Oreochromis niloticus: one gene and its partner. The protein of the gene in region 1 interacts with the protein of each later gene in a biochemical or structural test. Links are inferred from orthologs where the notes say so. Each region holds a gene or a part of one and is shown on either strand. Other genes may lie near its edges.

Region 1 (7,075 bases):
TTATCAATTTCATTCATTCAAAATGCAGAAAACAGTGAAAACATGAATTTTTTCAGCTCACCTATAGATACAATAGCACACAGCTTTTCTAAGCACTTATCTGGTGGTTTTTTTCTCGGCACTTTTCACAGTTCTTCTGTGTTTTCTGTCTCTTCATGTATTCTCAGTCTGACTCTGTGATGCTGATGCTCTGGATTCTTTGTTTAGGGTTGTTGTTTTTACACAGAATCAATGTGCGTCCATCAGATGTCTTGTGATCTGTTGTATATCATAATAATGTCATCATGTAAAGTACGTGCACATTTAAAACAGTGAATATAGCACCATCAGTGTATGTGTTCCATAAAAAATGTGGCTTCAGTTACTGAAAAACTCATCCTTTAGATTATAATCAATTATTTATTGTCTATTCTTTCTGGAAAAGGCCGGATCCCTTTCTCTTTTGTTTTATTAAACACCACTTTCTTGCTTTGGAGGGTTAAAATGCATATTTCTGGGGGTAAAGCAGCCTAACAGTTTTATGAGTTTAAGCGTTTCGAGAGTATGTTTGTAAGTTTAAGTTTATTAGTGCTTATTGTAAATTAGCAATGAATCGTCCCGGGTTTTAAAATTGTCATGTGGACTAAACATGGTGCAGTTTTACAGTGGGTGAAAACACCAATCTATGACTACAGCTGTGTTTCAAAATGAGCTTCAACCTCTGTAAATGTGTGTGGTTTCACTTGCGTGCATATCAAAAGAAAACGTGTTTATGGTTTGTGTCAGATGGTGTGGGCGAGCACCACCAGAGTGGGATGTGCTGTCAGGAAGTGCTCCAACATGGACGTGTTCGGCAGCACCTGGAGGGAAGCAACGCTGCTGGTCTGCAACTACTTGATAAAGTAAAGTTTGGGAAATATGCTTGTTCACTTTTTCACCAAAAGTTTGAAGATGCAGCTCAAAACCGTGACTTCCTCCGAGACACATAGGATGCTTATTTTTTAAAGTAGAAAACATCATCCTCTATGCAAATGCTAATAAACTAATCATTGTTGGTTGTAGTTTCAGTTTTAGTCTACTATTAGATCTTGAAAATGCTTTAAATCCAAATGATCTGTTTTATTTTACACATATGGGATCAGTTTAATGTTTTTAGTTCAAACTGGGGTCAAATAGGACACAGGAGGCAGATTTCAAGAACAAAAAGTGAGCTTTACTTGTATATACAAATGTCTTAATGAAGTTGGCAAAAATAAAAACAAACAAACAAACAAAAAACAAAAACTGAAAATAGACGGTTGCTGTTTTCGTCCATGTTCTAAGTAAAAAAGAACGAACCAATACAGACTCAAACCCTGCTCTCACAGGTGCAAATACTCATTTAACTATTACACTCAGAATCTCACCTTTTAATTAGCATTATATTTCTTTGTATTTCAGAGGAAACTGGGTGGGAGAAGCTCCGTATAAGACTGGAAGGCCTTGTTCTGTCTGTCCACCCAGCTACGGAGGCTCCTGCTGGAGAAACCAGTGCACACTGAACAAAAAACCCAGGAGACTTTAACACAAGAAAGAAGCTATTAACACAACACAGTGTTTTAATTTTTAAACTGAAAAAAAAAAAATGCACAACAGTTCCAGATATGACTCACAAAAGCTGTACAACAAGACAATCTGGATAAATGACGCATGTGTCCAGTTACCACTGTTACCATTTGTACTGTAAATACTTTATTTACTGCAACACTTGAATTTCTATTCCAGTTACAAAATAATGTTAAAACTGTTATTTCCTTTGACTTTCAGGAGCTTTGCACTGTTACAACCCGTTTAATAATAATAAAAAAGCAGTTTTATGCTACAAGTTGCTCATTTTAGGCCTGATATACATCTTTGATTGTCTTTCTAAACTGTGAACTCGTTCCCACAGTAAATGACAATGCATTTATGGTTGCCCGTTTGCCTGACCGAACGTTAATTAAGTTATAAATAACTGATGAGGCTGTATATTCAGTACAAGTAATCCGCTGTTCACCACTTGTGTTTATTCACTGCAGCTGCAGGAAATTTTCTGTCCTGCATTTCACCTCATTACAGCTCACCATTTACCCATCAGAGACTTTCTCTGTCATAAACCCGAGCCTAATGCAGCTTTTATGGCCTAAAATACGAGAGAATCAGCTGTGCCTCCCAGTTCAACTGATTTGTGGACACACACACACACACACACACACACACACACACACACACACACACACACACACACACCCAAACGTAAAACGTTTGATACAGAAACCAGTCTCTCCCAAGCAAACAAAGTCCCTCACAAACAAGTATAAAGAGCAGCTGAGATCAGCACTTTGTTGACTGTAATGATTGTTTATTTAGCAGCTCTATTCAGAAATGGAGAGTGGGTGTAATTTTCTTTCTTTGTGGAAGGTGTTTCTCCTTACTCTACATTTTTGTGCAGGTGTGGTTTTTACAGGTAATTGCATACACTGTTTTCAGCATTTCAATCAATCAGTTTCCACTGATACAAACAGATGTTTGGAAAACACTGTTATCCTCGCTGGATGAAATTTTCATGAGAATATCCATACCGCCTCGTGCCTGCAGACGATTAGCAAGAGAAACTGAACTCGGAAGAAAGCAACAACAAAATCCTTTTCCTAGTAAAGCTAAGCCTATTAAATTAACACATTATATTTAATCTGGCTCTTCTTTAGATGCTGTTACACTTACTGTTTTTTACATTTTAGGCGATTTTAACTTAACAAGCAGTATTAGTGTGTTAGTTAATGAGCTTTAGAGGTGTCAGAGAGTGGATTTTGCAATCTTCAGCCAGAGTCTTAAACTAAGCAAATGGAAAGTATTAATGTATGTTTTTGAAGCTGGCCAAAGAAAATATGACAAATTTCCCTATGGTAGCAAAAATGGTTGTTTGCATGCAGCTGAAAAGTGCCAGCAGGATATAGAATTATCTAAAAAGGACGGCTCATTTCCAAATCAAATGTACAGATTTTATCTCTTTTTATCCATCTAGATTGTTTGGTGTGTGTCCCAGTTAGCTCAAGGATGAAAACATAACATTTTGTGAGCCATTTCATTTGGGAATTGTTCTCTGTCTACCAAACTATACCTGTCAACCAACTGAAGCGTGGGCTTGCCAGACTTTACAGCTCCGGTGAGGGGATGGCATCCATGTTTACACGCCAACCGTCTCACTTAGCAGAAGAAAGCCAGAGGAGGGTTTGTGACACTGTAACAGGATGTAAACATTGTAAATTGATAGGTGTATTATGATTTTCAACTCTTGCAAACCATTAAAAGTGATTTTACACTTTTACACTATAATCCCCTCACACAGACACACATATTCTTTGCCTTTAAACATCGGGTGAAAAATAATGTTGAACTTCCCAAATGTAGAGTGAAGGAGCCACACACTGACCTTCTGATTGCCACATTTATCACGCTGAGCACCTTTTGGTTGGTGAATGTAGTTTTAGAATAACTGTGTCATAACTGAGTTATTCAAATGTATTTTTCTGCACAGGGCAAAGAGCCATCTAGCTTCATTACATTCAAAGAAGGTAGACATCTCAACAGCTTATAGGCCAAAGAAAAAAAATCAAACGATATATTTGATTTAAACTCATTCTCCAATGAAATGAAGCTGGGCTTCCATCTCTGCTGGGAGGCAACATTTTAAATTAGGGGGATGTTTTGGCATCCGCAGAGAGTTCAGGCCCCAGATATCTAACGGCTAAGCAGTAATGTTTTCTCCTTAGTCAAAACAAAACTGATGATGTCACTCGTCATACAGTATGTTCGCTGCCACCCTCAGTACATTCTCCACTCCTCTGTCTTTTATGTCCCTCCCCACCCTCTTTCTTTCTTTCTATTTTACATAAACTCTTATTCCTACACAATTTTCATCTTCGACTGGAGAAAAGGCTGTCAGGTGATGAGAAAGAGGGAAAAGAGCACAATAACTTTATGTCTATTTGAGTTTCTATCATCATGTTGCCATAGTTACAGCTGCTATATAGATTGGTGTCCATACGAGCCTGGTTACTGTTTAACCTCCCCACCCACATTTGCCCAGATTAGGAAAATCAATAAGATAACAGCAGCAACACCGGCCTTACCTTGCACCAACAACACCCTTCTCGCACTACAGCACCCTGCGCCAGACATCCACATTTTACACCTTATGGTGAGGGGAGAAAATAGTGGATTTAAAACATATGCTTGGGAGGAAGGAGAGGACGACATGGTCAATGTAAACTCACAAGTCAGTTCAAGTATGGAACTTCCATTTGGTGAGTACACGCTTTTGTTTTTATCCGTGTGGCCGACTAGTTTAAAAAGAGGCTAAGCGTAGCAGCTGCTTGCTTCTTTTTGCTTCTTATTCAGTGTTTTTGTGTAGCAGCTGCTTGGCTCCAGAGCTCTGCTGGATCACAAGGGATTCAGGGTGGAAATATCACCACCATACATGTCTGTCTTTTTCACACGGCTGTAATCCAGGAGGTGTGTCAGAGATATGGAGGTCGTTAAAAAAAGGCCATGGGAGCTGGGCCTGATGGAGATGATGGTTCAGAGATATTGAGATGTAAGAGCTGTAAGAGTACAGTGAGTGTGACAGGGCTCACAGGCTGATTTGAAATGATTTAAGCTTGCTCTGTTTGACAAGCTGTGCTCATGGACTGGATATTTTTTATGGAGTTCTGAAAACATTCTTTCTGTAGAGTTACACTATCCATAAAAAGACTGACATTTTAACCTCACTATGACACTGTGATAAGCCTCTGCATTATTTTATGGCTACAATATAAGATGCTGTGCAAACACAAAACAGGAGAAGGACACATCGCTGCTACAGGCACACAAACCGCCCCTTTGTCATAACTGTTTTGAACAATCTCAAGAGAGGCCTTACTCGGCATCATCTCATACCAGCTGTCTGATGCAGCAGTTGGTGGGAGTTTAGTTTTTGCTTCTGTGGTCATTCATTAAATAATTTGCATATCACAGCAGGGATGCAAATCCATTTAAACAAAGCTCTGGCCAAATGAGAAAAGAAAATATCAGCCCACTGTTTCAAGTCTGCCTTTGCTCATTTATTCCTTCCCTCCTTGCTCCCCATTTCTTCTCGTGCCACTATGCCAATTCGGTATATGTAGGCTATTTTTTCAGCTAAAGGAACAGCTACACAGAAAAGGTTAATTGTACAAAGGGGGGAGGTGATATCTTCATACATTTCAGTCCCAGTGACCAGTGAAGTGAAAGTCAGTTCAGATAGTGAAAATAACTTCTCAAATATGTGTCCAGCAGTATTTCAAGGTTGTCGCTGCCATACTTGCTTCTAGGACTTTGTAGCTGGCAAGCAAACCCCCTATGGGCTAGCTAACTGGGAATATACTAACACTAATCTCTCAAATGAACACCCCATGCTTCTCTAAATTTTCTCTGGATTGCCCGGTTTACATCCAGCTCCATTTACCTTTCCATTTCAGTTAAGAGTGAAGCGACAGGGATAAGATTTCCAGGCTGCTAAGGCCTCCTATTTTAGGTGCTGACAGGAAAATATTTTTATTTAATTTTATTTCTAATTCATGTTTTGTGAGGGTTTTTTGTTACGGCATAAATCTCTAGATGATTTCATTACATTATGACACAGTAAATGCAGCATAAAGAGAAACTGTATAGAACAATGAGCATCGTGACTTTGTTCAGTTAAACAGTTTTGTTTGATGTGTTATTTTGTCAGTTAGAATTACAGTCACAGGTCATCGTCATGCGTGACACACAGAAAGAAAGCTGTGCTTGTTGTCAGTGGTTGTATTGCACAAAGTCATGAGAATTTAAATCTACTGAGAAGTTAAGCAGGCTCACAGTCGTGTCCACAACAAATGAATCTTGTTTCAGTAAAATCTGACCTTGATCTTGAGCACAGTTGAAGACACATTACGTGATCATAATATGGAAGGTCCGCTGACACCCTGAAGGCTTTACACACCAGATGTGGAAAAATTCGTGAGAATGTTTTGTGCTTTAAAAATATTTTTTGGATTCACCCATTCTTAATGTGCAAATTCACACTGACTGCATAATTTCACTGGACGAATTTGCAGCATTTATTTTTCTTTAGCTTTCTGAAATGATTCATCCGCCTCCTCAGATGTGGTCCCAACTCTGCCATCAAGAGCTCAAACTGCCCCCCTGACATCCTGAAATATGTATGAAAGCAGTTGTGATAAAGCTTCAACTCCTGGTTCAAAGTATGAAATTCTCCCTGCTGCCGCTTTTTCCTGAGACTCTGATGAACCTAGAATCTTTGTTTCTTCCTTTTCCGGGTTTAGAAACAACAGGACCGGCTCATCGTGGCTTAATATCAACTTCTTTGTCCTCACATTTTCCTCAACAATGCAGTGCATTCGGTGTGTGTGTGTGTTACATGACAAGTTCAGAATCCGAAAATTCAGATTTTCATGTTGTTTTTTGCATCGTGCCCACTAATAACCTTAAAGAAACATAATACTACAGTTAACTGTGTTATCCTGTTAAATTTATACTGTTTATTAATGTTACAGACAGACAAGACCACATTAACATTACCATTTTATTATAGCCACTAGTTGCTACCTGCAGGTAACTGCTAATACTTCAATGGCTCATGTTAATGTGGACGCTGGCAAGGTCAACACTTCAGATAACTGTTTAATACTTAAATGTTGTTAAAACAGGAGATTTACTGACCTCCCAACAGTCGTAATAAAGACCAAGGTGTCAGTCTTTGAGATGCTTCACCCAGTTGGTGGTGCTACTGTTCATGTGTTCAGCTTCTAGTAAGGTGGGAAAGGTTGTGCACCTGGGTACTTAGTGAAGGTGTGTGTCATCTGGAGCAGGTGAAGACGGCAGTGCTGGTATCAGTGCTGTTGCAAATGGGAACTGAATGTGAAATGGGAATGTCTGAATTTGAACTTTTCTGACAACCCTATTCAATACATATGGTGCATATGGTATGTATGGTACTTAAAAAAAGAAAAGCAAGTATGATTGTGATTTTAGAACTTTGGTCACTTTTAAATTG
Region 2 (7,805 bases), on another chromosome or scaffold:
TTAGTCTCTCTGCGAAATGTTTCATCATTTGGACTCTGGTAAGATCATACTTTGATGTTTCTGTCAAAAGTTAGCGACTTGCTAACGAAAGCTAAGCTAAAGCCGTTAACGTGCTAAGGCCGAATTATTAGCAGGCAGTATAATTAACGACATTAAAGCGTGAGCTCTTCATTCGACATTTGATGTTTACTTTCAGGGTATGTTGTCACTGGGTGGTGTTAAAGTTAGACACTTAATTTAACCACCTAGTGGATGTTGCTAGCTTCGCGTCCCTCTTGCTTGTAGCTAACCTATTGATGTTTTGTTTATGTGCAAGAAGCTTCCTGATGCTCTCACTTTACAAAGCTCATTACATTGCTGTTATCTTTCCCAAAGACACAAAGTGGAGATAATACAAGCCTTGGCTGCTGTCTGCTTTTTCACTGGCCATTACATTTGTAGTGAACATTTAAAAAAAAATAAAAATAAAGTAGTCTGAACGTTAACGCCAAATTTTTTCTGCTCCTAATGTTCTGTTAGAAGACAGGGAGGGGAACAAGGAACCAGTACACATGGAGTGTGAGAAGGAAGGAGTCGACTCTGAGACCAGGTGGGGCGAAGAGCTCAGACTGGTCCTCATTGGAAAGACCGGATCTGGCAAGAGTGCATCTGGGAACACCATCCTGGGCCGCAGGCAGTTCCTGTCACAGGTCAGCGCCAGCTCTGTCACTCAGATTTGCGAGATGGGAAGCACTGAGCTCGCTGAAGAAGATGGCCGGGCCGTCCCACAGAGGAGAGTGAGGCGAATCATGGTTGTTGACATGCCAGGTTTTGGAGACACTCACCTCAGTGTGGAGCAGATTCACGCAGAGATTGCCAAATGTGTCTCTCTCTCTGCCCCTGGCCCCCACGCTTTCCTCCTTGTGGTGCCAATAGGACGATACACAGACAACGAGAACCAGGCTGTTTGTGAGCTGGCCAAGATATTTGGGGGAGGATGCTGTATTTCACCATACAGTGGTTCTTTTTACCAGGGGGGGATGACCTAGAGGGCATGGTGATAGAAGAATATCTGAAAATGACTGCACCTCCTGGGCTGAGGGCTCTGATAGACAAGTGTGGGGGTAGGTACCATGTTCTCAACAACAAAGACCCCAGTAACACAGCACAAGTTAAAGAGCTCTTGGTGAAGGTAGACAGCATGGTGAGGCAGAGTAACGGAGGGTTTTATACTAACACCATGTTTTTAGAGGCAGAGGCTGCAATCCGGGAGGAGCAGGATAGGATGTTGGGAGAGCGAGGGCAAGCAGAGGGTGAAGACCAAGAAGGAAGTAACTGCAGAACTGAAGAGGAGGCTAAACTTGCAAAAAGAAGAAAATGTGATTTAGAGTCTGACATAGCAGGAAGCAGCGAGAGAGGATTACAAGAGCTCCAGAGGAAAGGGGTAGAAAGAGGAAGTGAAGATGATCTAAGGGTGGAGAAATGGGCAAAGGAGAGCAGAAGCAGTCCCTTCAGCCTGCTGAGAGACCAGATCAGAGGCCGACATCGGGGCCAAGGCAGAGCTGTCAGCCGGCGGCCATCTGTCCGGTCATCACTGATTCGTTTCAGGAGGGAAGCCGCGCTCTCTCCCAAGGTGCTGGAGAGAGTTAAGGTCCTGGTGGCTGCTGGAGCCACTGGCATGGCAGTTGGGGCAGTTTTCGGAGCGGCTGCCCCTTTGGCAGCTGCAGCTGGGGCATCTCTTGCTGGGAACTCGATTGGTTTTGCTGCAGCTCAGTTAGCTGGGATGTCCGTGGCGGGAGGCTCGGGTGTGGGGAATGCCGTGGGCGCCATAGTGGCGGCAGCCTCGGGGAAAACTGCAGTGGCTCTGGGCGCAGCAACAGGTGGAGTTCTGGGTAGTTCTGTGGGAGCCATTGCTAGCGCTGAGGCTTCCAGTCCTGCAGAAGGTGCTTTAGATGCCCTCACCCAGGTTAGCATCATAGGGGCCACTGCAGTCGGGGTGGCGGCCGGTGTGGGATGCACCATGGCAGGTGGGGCTGCTTTAGGAGCAGCTCTGGAGGGAGCAGCTGCCCTCGGTGGAGCTGAAACTGCAGCAGCAGCAGGAGTAGCTCAGGGTAGTTTAGCGTCAGCAGCCGCTGGGACTCCTCAGTGTGCTGCTGCCTTAGCTCAGGAAGTGGCCGCTGGTGCTGCATGTGGGGTAACAGGACCCAGTGTGGCAACAGCAGCCAGCAGGGTTGCATCAGACCCGTGGGGCACCATGTCGGCAACAGCACGCATCCTGAGCGCGGTGGCCGAAATTGGCAAAGCTGCAGCCGGCATCGCCCTCGCTGGTGGTCTGGTGGTGAAGGTGGTGAAGGAAAAAGTGAGAAGCGGCACAGGAACGACGGAGGCTTCCTACTCAGAGAAGAAGTCTTATGAAATCTACTGGAACAAATAAATACAGGCTGAGCGTAGAGTCCAAATCCAGGATGTAAGAGATGTATTTTTCCACCTTCACAATAAACACCACACAACACAGTAACTTACTGCAGTGAGGGATATTTTTACATGGTTGTAAATGATCAAAGATGCACTGCTAGCAACAACATCTGTGTAATAAAGTTGTATGCAGTATTAATATGAAGCCACTTTATGAGGAAAAGGTAGAATCTCTCAATCTAAATGTTGGTTCAAGCCGAAGCTGAATAATCCATGACATTTGCACTTGTGTGGGATGACTGAAAGGCATATTAGATGGGTGTTGATTCTGCTGTTTCTTATTTTTAAACATGTTAGAAGGTTGTGATGCATTTCAGTGCTGGTTGGTATTTAAACACACCTTAGTCCTTGAGCACACATCATACTTAAAAAAAATTTTTTTACAGTGAGTATAATAAACAGAAAAAAGTGTTTGCCATGCCAAATATGTATATGAACAAAGTGGACTAATGACGTATTGAAAAGTTTCCATCCTGAATGATTTGCAGTGATTGGCTGGTTTTATTGCACTGTTTAACATCATGTAATAATTAAACCAGGAGAGTTATACAGTTATGTATTAACACAGGTAAAACATATGCTGCAAATGAGTTAGCAGTTCATTCATGTGTTTTTGCAGTGAAATAAAGAAAATACAAATATTGTTGCAAGAACTAACGTTTTTGGCTTCTTTTTTCCTTGTGGAATTATATTGGTGTTATCTTTTTGAACACCACACATGGCAGTATAATCAACTATGGTTCTCCATTTGAAGAATTCTGAAACACATTAAGTAACAATGATCATGCTTAGAATTAAGATCTGTGCCATTTTAAATGTATAGATTTGATGACTTTGTTAGGTACACTAATACCTGGTTGGAAGCCCTTTTGCCTTCAGAGCTGACTTAATTTTTCCTGGCATGGATTCAACAACAACGTCCCAAAGATGCTCTGTTGGACTGACGTCTTGTGACCGTGGAGGCCATTTGAGTACAGTGAACTCATGTTCAAGAAACCAGTTTGAGATGATGTCAGCTTTATGGGTATGTTATCCTGTGAGAAGCAACCATCAGAAGATGGGTACACTGTAGTTATAACTGGATGGGCATGATCAGCAACAATACTCAGGTAGGCTGTGGTGTGATGGTCAGTTGGTACTAAGGGGACCAAAGTGAACCAAGAAAATACCCCCCATATCATTAAACCACCACCACATAATACAGGGCAGGATAGATCCATACTTTTCATGTTCACGCCAAATTTGAACCATACCATCTGAACGTGCCAGCAGAAAGACCCGTCAGACTATATAAAATTTTTCAAGTTTTCTGTTGAGCAGTTTGGGTGAGCCCATGTAAAGTGTTGCCACAGTTTCAGCTGACAGGATGAGCACCCAGTCTGGTCTTCTGCTGCCCATCTACTTCAAGGTTCAACGTATATTTAGCAATGCTGTTCTGCATACCTTGGCTTATTTTGCCTTCCTTTCTAAAGAACTCTGGCCATTGTCCTCTGACCTCTGACATGAAAAAGTTATTTTTACTCACCGAACTTCCGCTCACTTTTCTGTTTTTCAGAGAATTCTCTCTGGAGATGGTTGTCTGTGGGAAATCCCTGTAGATCAGCAGTTGCTAAAACACACAGCGCAGCCCATCTGCCACCAAGTTTATGCCAATAACCTTAAAGCCACTTAAACTCCCATATTTCTCCATGTTTCTGGTGCTCAGTTTGAACTTCAGCAGGTCGACCTTATCCACATGCCTAATGTAGATCTCTGTATCTCATTGTACAACTGTATAGTGACAATAAAGGCATTCTATTCTATTCTATTCTAAATGTGATTGATTACCTACCTAATAAAGTCGCAGGTGACTATAGATGGGTAGCTCAACTGTAGTTCTTTCATTTTTATTAACACAGTATCATACAATTTTTATGCTTAAAAAGTAAAACTTGGAGTATATGCCATTAACCTTTTTTGTCTATAACACAACTTGTAATCTTTGATGGGTTAAAAGGTAAACAATAAATAAGATAGTATTAATCCGTACGCTGGAAAACATGCTTAAGAAACGAGTGAAACTGTTAAAACGTGTATTTTTGCGAATGACTGCAGAATGACTGTGTGTGTTTATCGCCGTCATCTTTTCCAAGGAGCAGCATTTGTCCACCGAGGTCGGGTTCTTTTCATGAAGGTAGGGGGAGCGGTTTATTCAAATGACACCCAAGCTTCTGATGGTTGACGTACTATCAGACCACGGCGAATACTGGCCTGTCATTGGACGATGATGACTGGTCTCATGACAAGAACGGACAGGTCTCAGCCAATCAGATCCCGCTATGGGCCACGGAGTCTGTTTGTGAATGACGTAATGAGCGTGAAACAAGATGGCGTCGCCTCAAACATAAATTGATGCCAATGAGTTTATCGGTGTAGAAGTGCTCCTCTCTTGGGGCTTCTGTGTTGTTTTGGGGTTGTTCAGGTGAAAGGACATATTCCGCGGTCAGTTAGGTGTGTGGTAGGCGTTGCCGAACGCCCACGGAGGAGCTCGTGGACCTTGTTTGTTTTGTCCCTCCGGTGACAACCGGAGAGGAGAGCTGCTGACAGATAGGATGGACAGCGGGGAGTATATCTCCACCATGGAGAACATGGACCCGACTTTAGCGGAATTAGGGGACGAATTCACCTTGGGAGACATTGACGGTGAGTGACCGTGTCACTGTTTAAAAAAAATTAGGAAGGGTAAGCTGTGTTTCACGAGTGTTGGCCTGTTTCCGTTTAGCCCGACAGCTGTTCTTCCTGCCGAGCGGAAGGAGATGAGCAGCTCTGGCTCTTAATTCTTGCGACAATGTTTAAGTATTCAAGATACCGCTCAGGAAAAAAGAGAGCACTTATATTTAGTAGTCCTCGAATGCTCTGTTATTTTGGCATTATCGTTGTGTATTTTCTTCTGTTTGTTTCTCTAATCCCCCCCACACACACAAAAAAAAGACAAAAAAAAACAAAACAATCACACAAACAATTAACCTAAACTAAAAGATGAAGAAGTGATACTGTTGTTGTCTTGACTCCTCCATAAGAAGTGTCAGTTACTTTCTGACCTTCTTCTTGTTCTTGAAGGAAGCTTTTCCTCCTACTTGAGCATCTTTTTGCTTCTGCAGACCTAATTGAGCATCATCTGTGGGACAACATCTCTGTCAAAAATAAATAAATAAATAAATAAAACAGATTGCGTTTTGCAGTCTGTGGGCCTGTACCCTGTGAACAAACAGCATCCTTGTTCCAACTTCCCTGTTATCAAAACATGTTTCACCCTTTGGCACACAGTGAAAGGATGGGGGCTTTTGGTGTGAGGCTGGCCAACGCAGAGTCACCAGATTTTTATTAGGGTGGAATTTTACTGAATGCTAACCCACCAGACCGGATTGATACACGTGTGTGTGTGTGTGTGTGTGTGTGTGTGTGTGTGTCGCACAGTATGGGATGAATTGGTTGTGTTAGGTTTAAATTAGTCATCAGCATACAACCAACCAAAGTGCTCTGAGATCATGCAAAGCCCAATAAAGATTACTATGTTTTGTTTTTTTTAAAGCAGTATGCTCTACTGCTTGTATGTTTAATTTGTTGTTTGTGATTGTACAAAAACCTTTTTCAATAAAAAGACTTTGATTAAAAAAAGATTACTATGCATGGGTTTGAAAACCTACCTGCCGGTGGCATCTGGTGTTAATTCTCTGTGGTGAACAGCCCATGTCACAGCTATTTAATCTCACTTAATCAATGTGTCAAAAGAAGAATGTGCAGATTGTGTGAAAGTCAAATGACTGTTGAGGTTTGACTGATCCTAACTTGACTTTTGCTTCACTCAGTGCATTTTGCCTGCAGCTATTTGGGGGAAAAATGCAGGTTTCCCATGAGGAAAAGCATTTAACTGCTGCAAATTCAGATTAGTCACGAGCTTTTCTTTTGTGCATTTGACTCCGTATTAATGTCGAATATTCTTGCTTTTCCAATTATTCACTTAACAACTGCTGCTCTGCTTATGTAACTTATTTTCTCTGCTCTCAGCAGCCCACAAAATTGTCCCCCACTACACCCTCACCCTCGCCCTGTACCCCCATTTAATGGATTTACCCTTTGTTTCGGAGTCTCTGTCTGAAGCTCCAGGGGCTCAGAGTTGCTTTGTTCTGTCAGCCACTGTAACCCCCTCCCCTCGAGGTGTTGAAGTGTGCGAGTGCCCTACTGTAAGTGTAAATTCGACTGGATGGTTGGTAGAAACGCTCCTGAGAGGAAGCCCATTTAGTGTTCCTGTGGTGCGGCTTATTTGAAATCACGTCCTGCGCTCCTCTGGGCTCACTTTTCAAAGCAAGCCTCAAAGTGTTTCCCTTTTATTGGTTTTGAAAGTGGTCATCACTGTTTCTTTACCTCTGTGTCAACACAGGTCACATGCAGACTTCAGTCATGGCTATGAGTGCATGAATTACTGGCCTTGACCTCTCTGCTGCTAGTGTTGGACTGTTGATCTCTTTTTTTACAGCTTGAGATTTTGCAGCAGTAGAAATGCAGATATGATATATGATCCAAGATGAGATCTGAACACAGATGAGTTTGTTTTAAAGACTTGTTGGATTTCAATTCATCTCTGGAGTTGGCAACCCGGCACACTGATGAGAACGAACGCCTTTTATTGTTTTTGTACGCTGCACTGAAATGCAGCGAGTGATCAAAGACAAAGCTGACAGGATGCTGGCTTCTTTTCCAAACATATCTGAGAACCTTTTGGTGTTTTAAAAAGTTTGTGAGTTTTCCTTCTTCGCTTTGCAGCTTCAAGCATCTATTCTTGTACCCCAGTGCTTTTTGTGTTGCGTTTGTTTCGAACATTACATCATTAAAGTAGAAATACAAAATGTCCTGCAGCGATATTGTGCTAAAAAAAATGTAGGAACCTTATCTAGAAGTCAAATCACCAAAAAAGGAAGCAGTAACTTTATTGCAGGCATAAAAGATGCAGAACATGTTTCACTGCGCTGGGATTGATAAAGGGTCTTATAGTACTGTATTACACAGTCGCCTTGTATTTTCCTGATGCCAAAAAAATCACTCATTAATGCAGGAAAAATTCACTCACTTTGAGGCTGCAAAGTAGTGACTGTAGTTAACTTTAACATGTGGCTTGCAGGGCTTCTTAGGTGTATTGATATGTGGTGTCCAAGGGTTGTGCGCTTAGTGATTTAACACTTGACAAAAAGTTCTTTGTGTCTTTTGTATTGCCTGATTTCTCCGCCTCACATTAAGATAAAGTTCAAGGTTACAGGCTCAGCTTATTGACGCTGCGCTGACCCTGAGAGCTAAGGGCATAGGCACTATCAGTG

The links. The genes of interacting proteins can lie anywhere in the genome.
Region 2: the proteins of hnf4a (region 1) and srebf2 form a complex in vitro, tested with the Homo sapiens proteins (2 studies listed by BioGRID and IntAct). The link is inferred for Oreochromis niloticus from reciprocal best matches to the Homo sapiens genes HNF4A and SREBF2.

What each region holds. Positions count from the first base shown.
Region 1 is NC_031984.2:6,975,308-6,982,382, forward strand, and holds the start of hnf4a (hepatocyte nuclear factor 4-alpha), read left to right. Parts: upstream 1-4,069; 5' UTR 4,070-4,195; coding exon 4,196-4,304; intron 4,305-7,075. Other genes in the region: peptidase inhibitor R3HDML, read left to right, coding at 766-881, 1,420-1,543. UniProt on the Homo sapiens protein: Transcriptional regulator which controls the expression of hepatic genes during the transition of endodermal cells to hepatic progenitor cells, facilitating the recruitment of RNA pol II to the promoters of target genes. Activates the transcription of CYP2C38.
Region 2 is NC_031969.2:10,062,909-10,070,713, forward strand, and holds the start of srebf2 (sterol regulatory element-binding protein 2), read left to right. Parts: upstream 1-4,781; 5' UTR 4,782-5,045; coding exon 5,046-5,136; intron 5,137-7,805. Other genes in the region: uncharacterized protein LOC100696172, read left to right, coding at 977-2,413.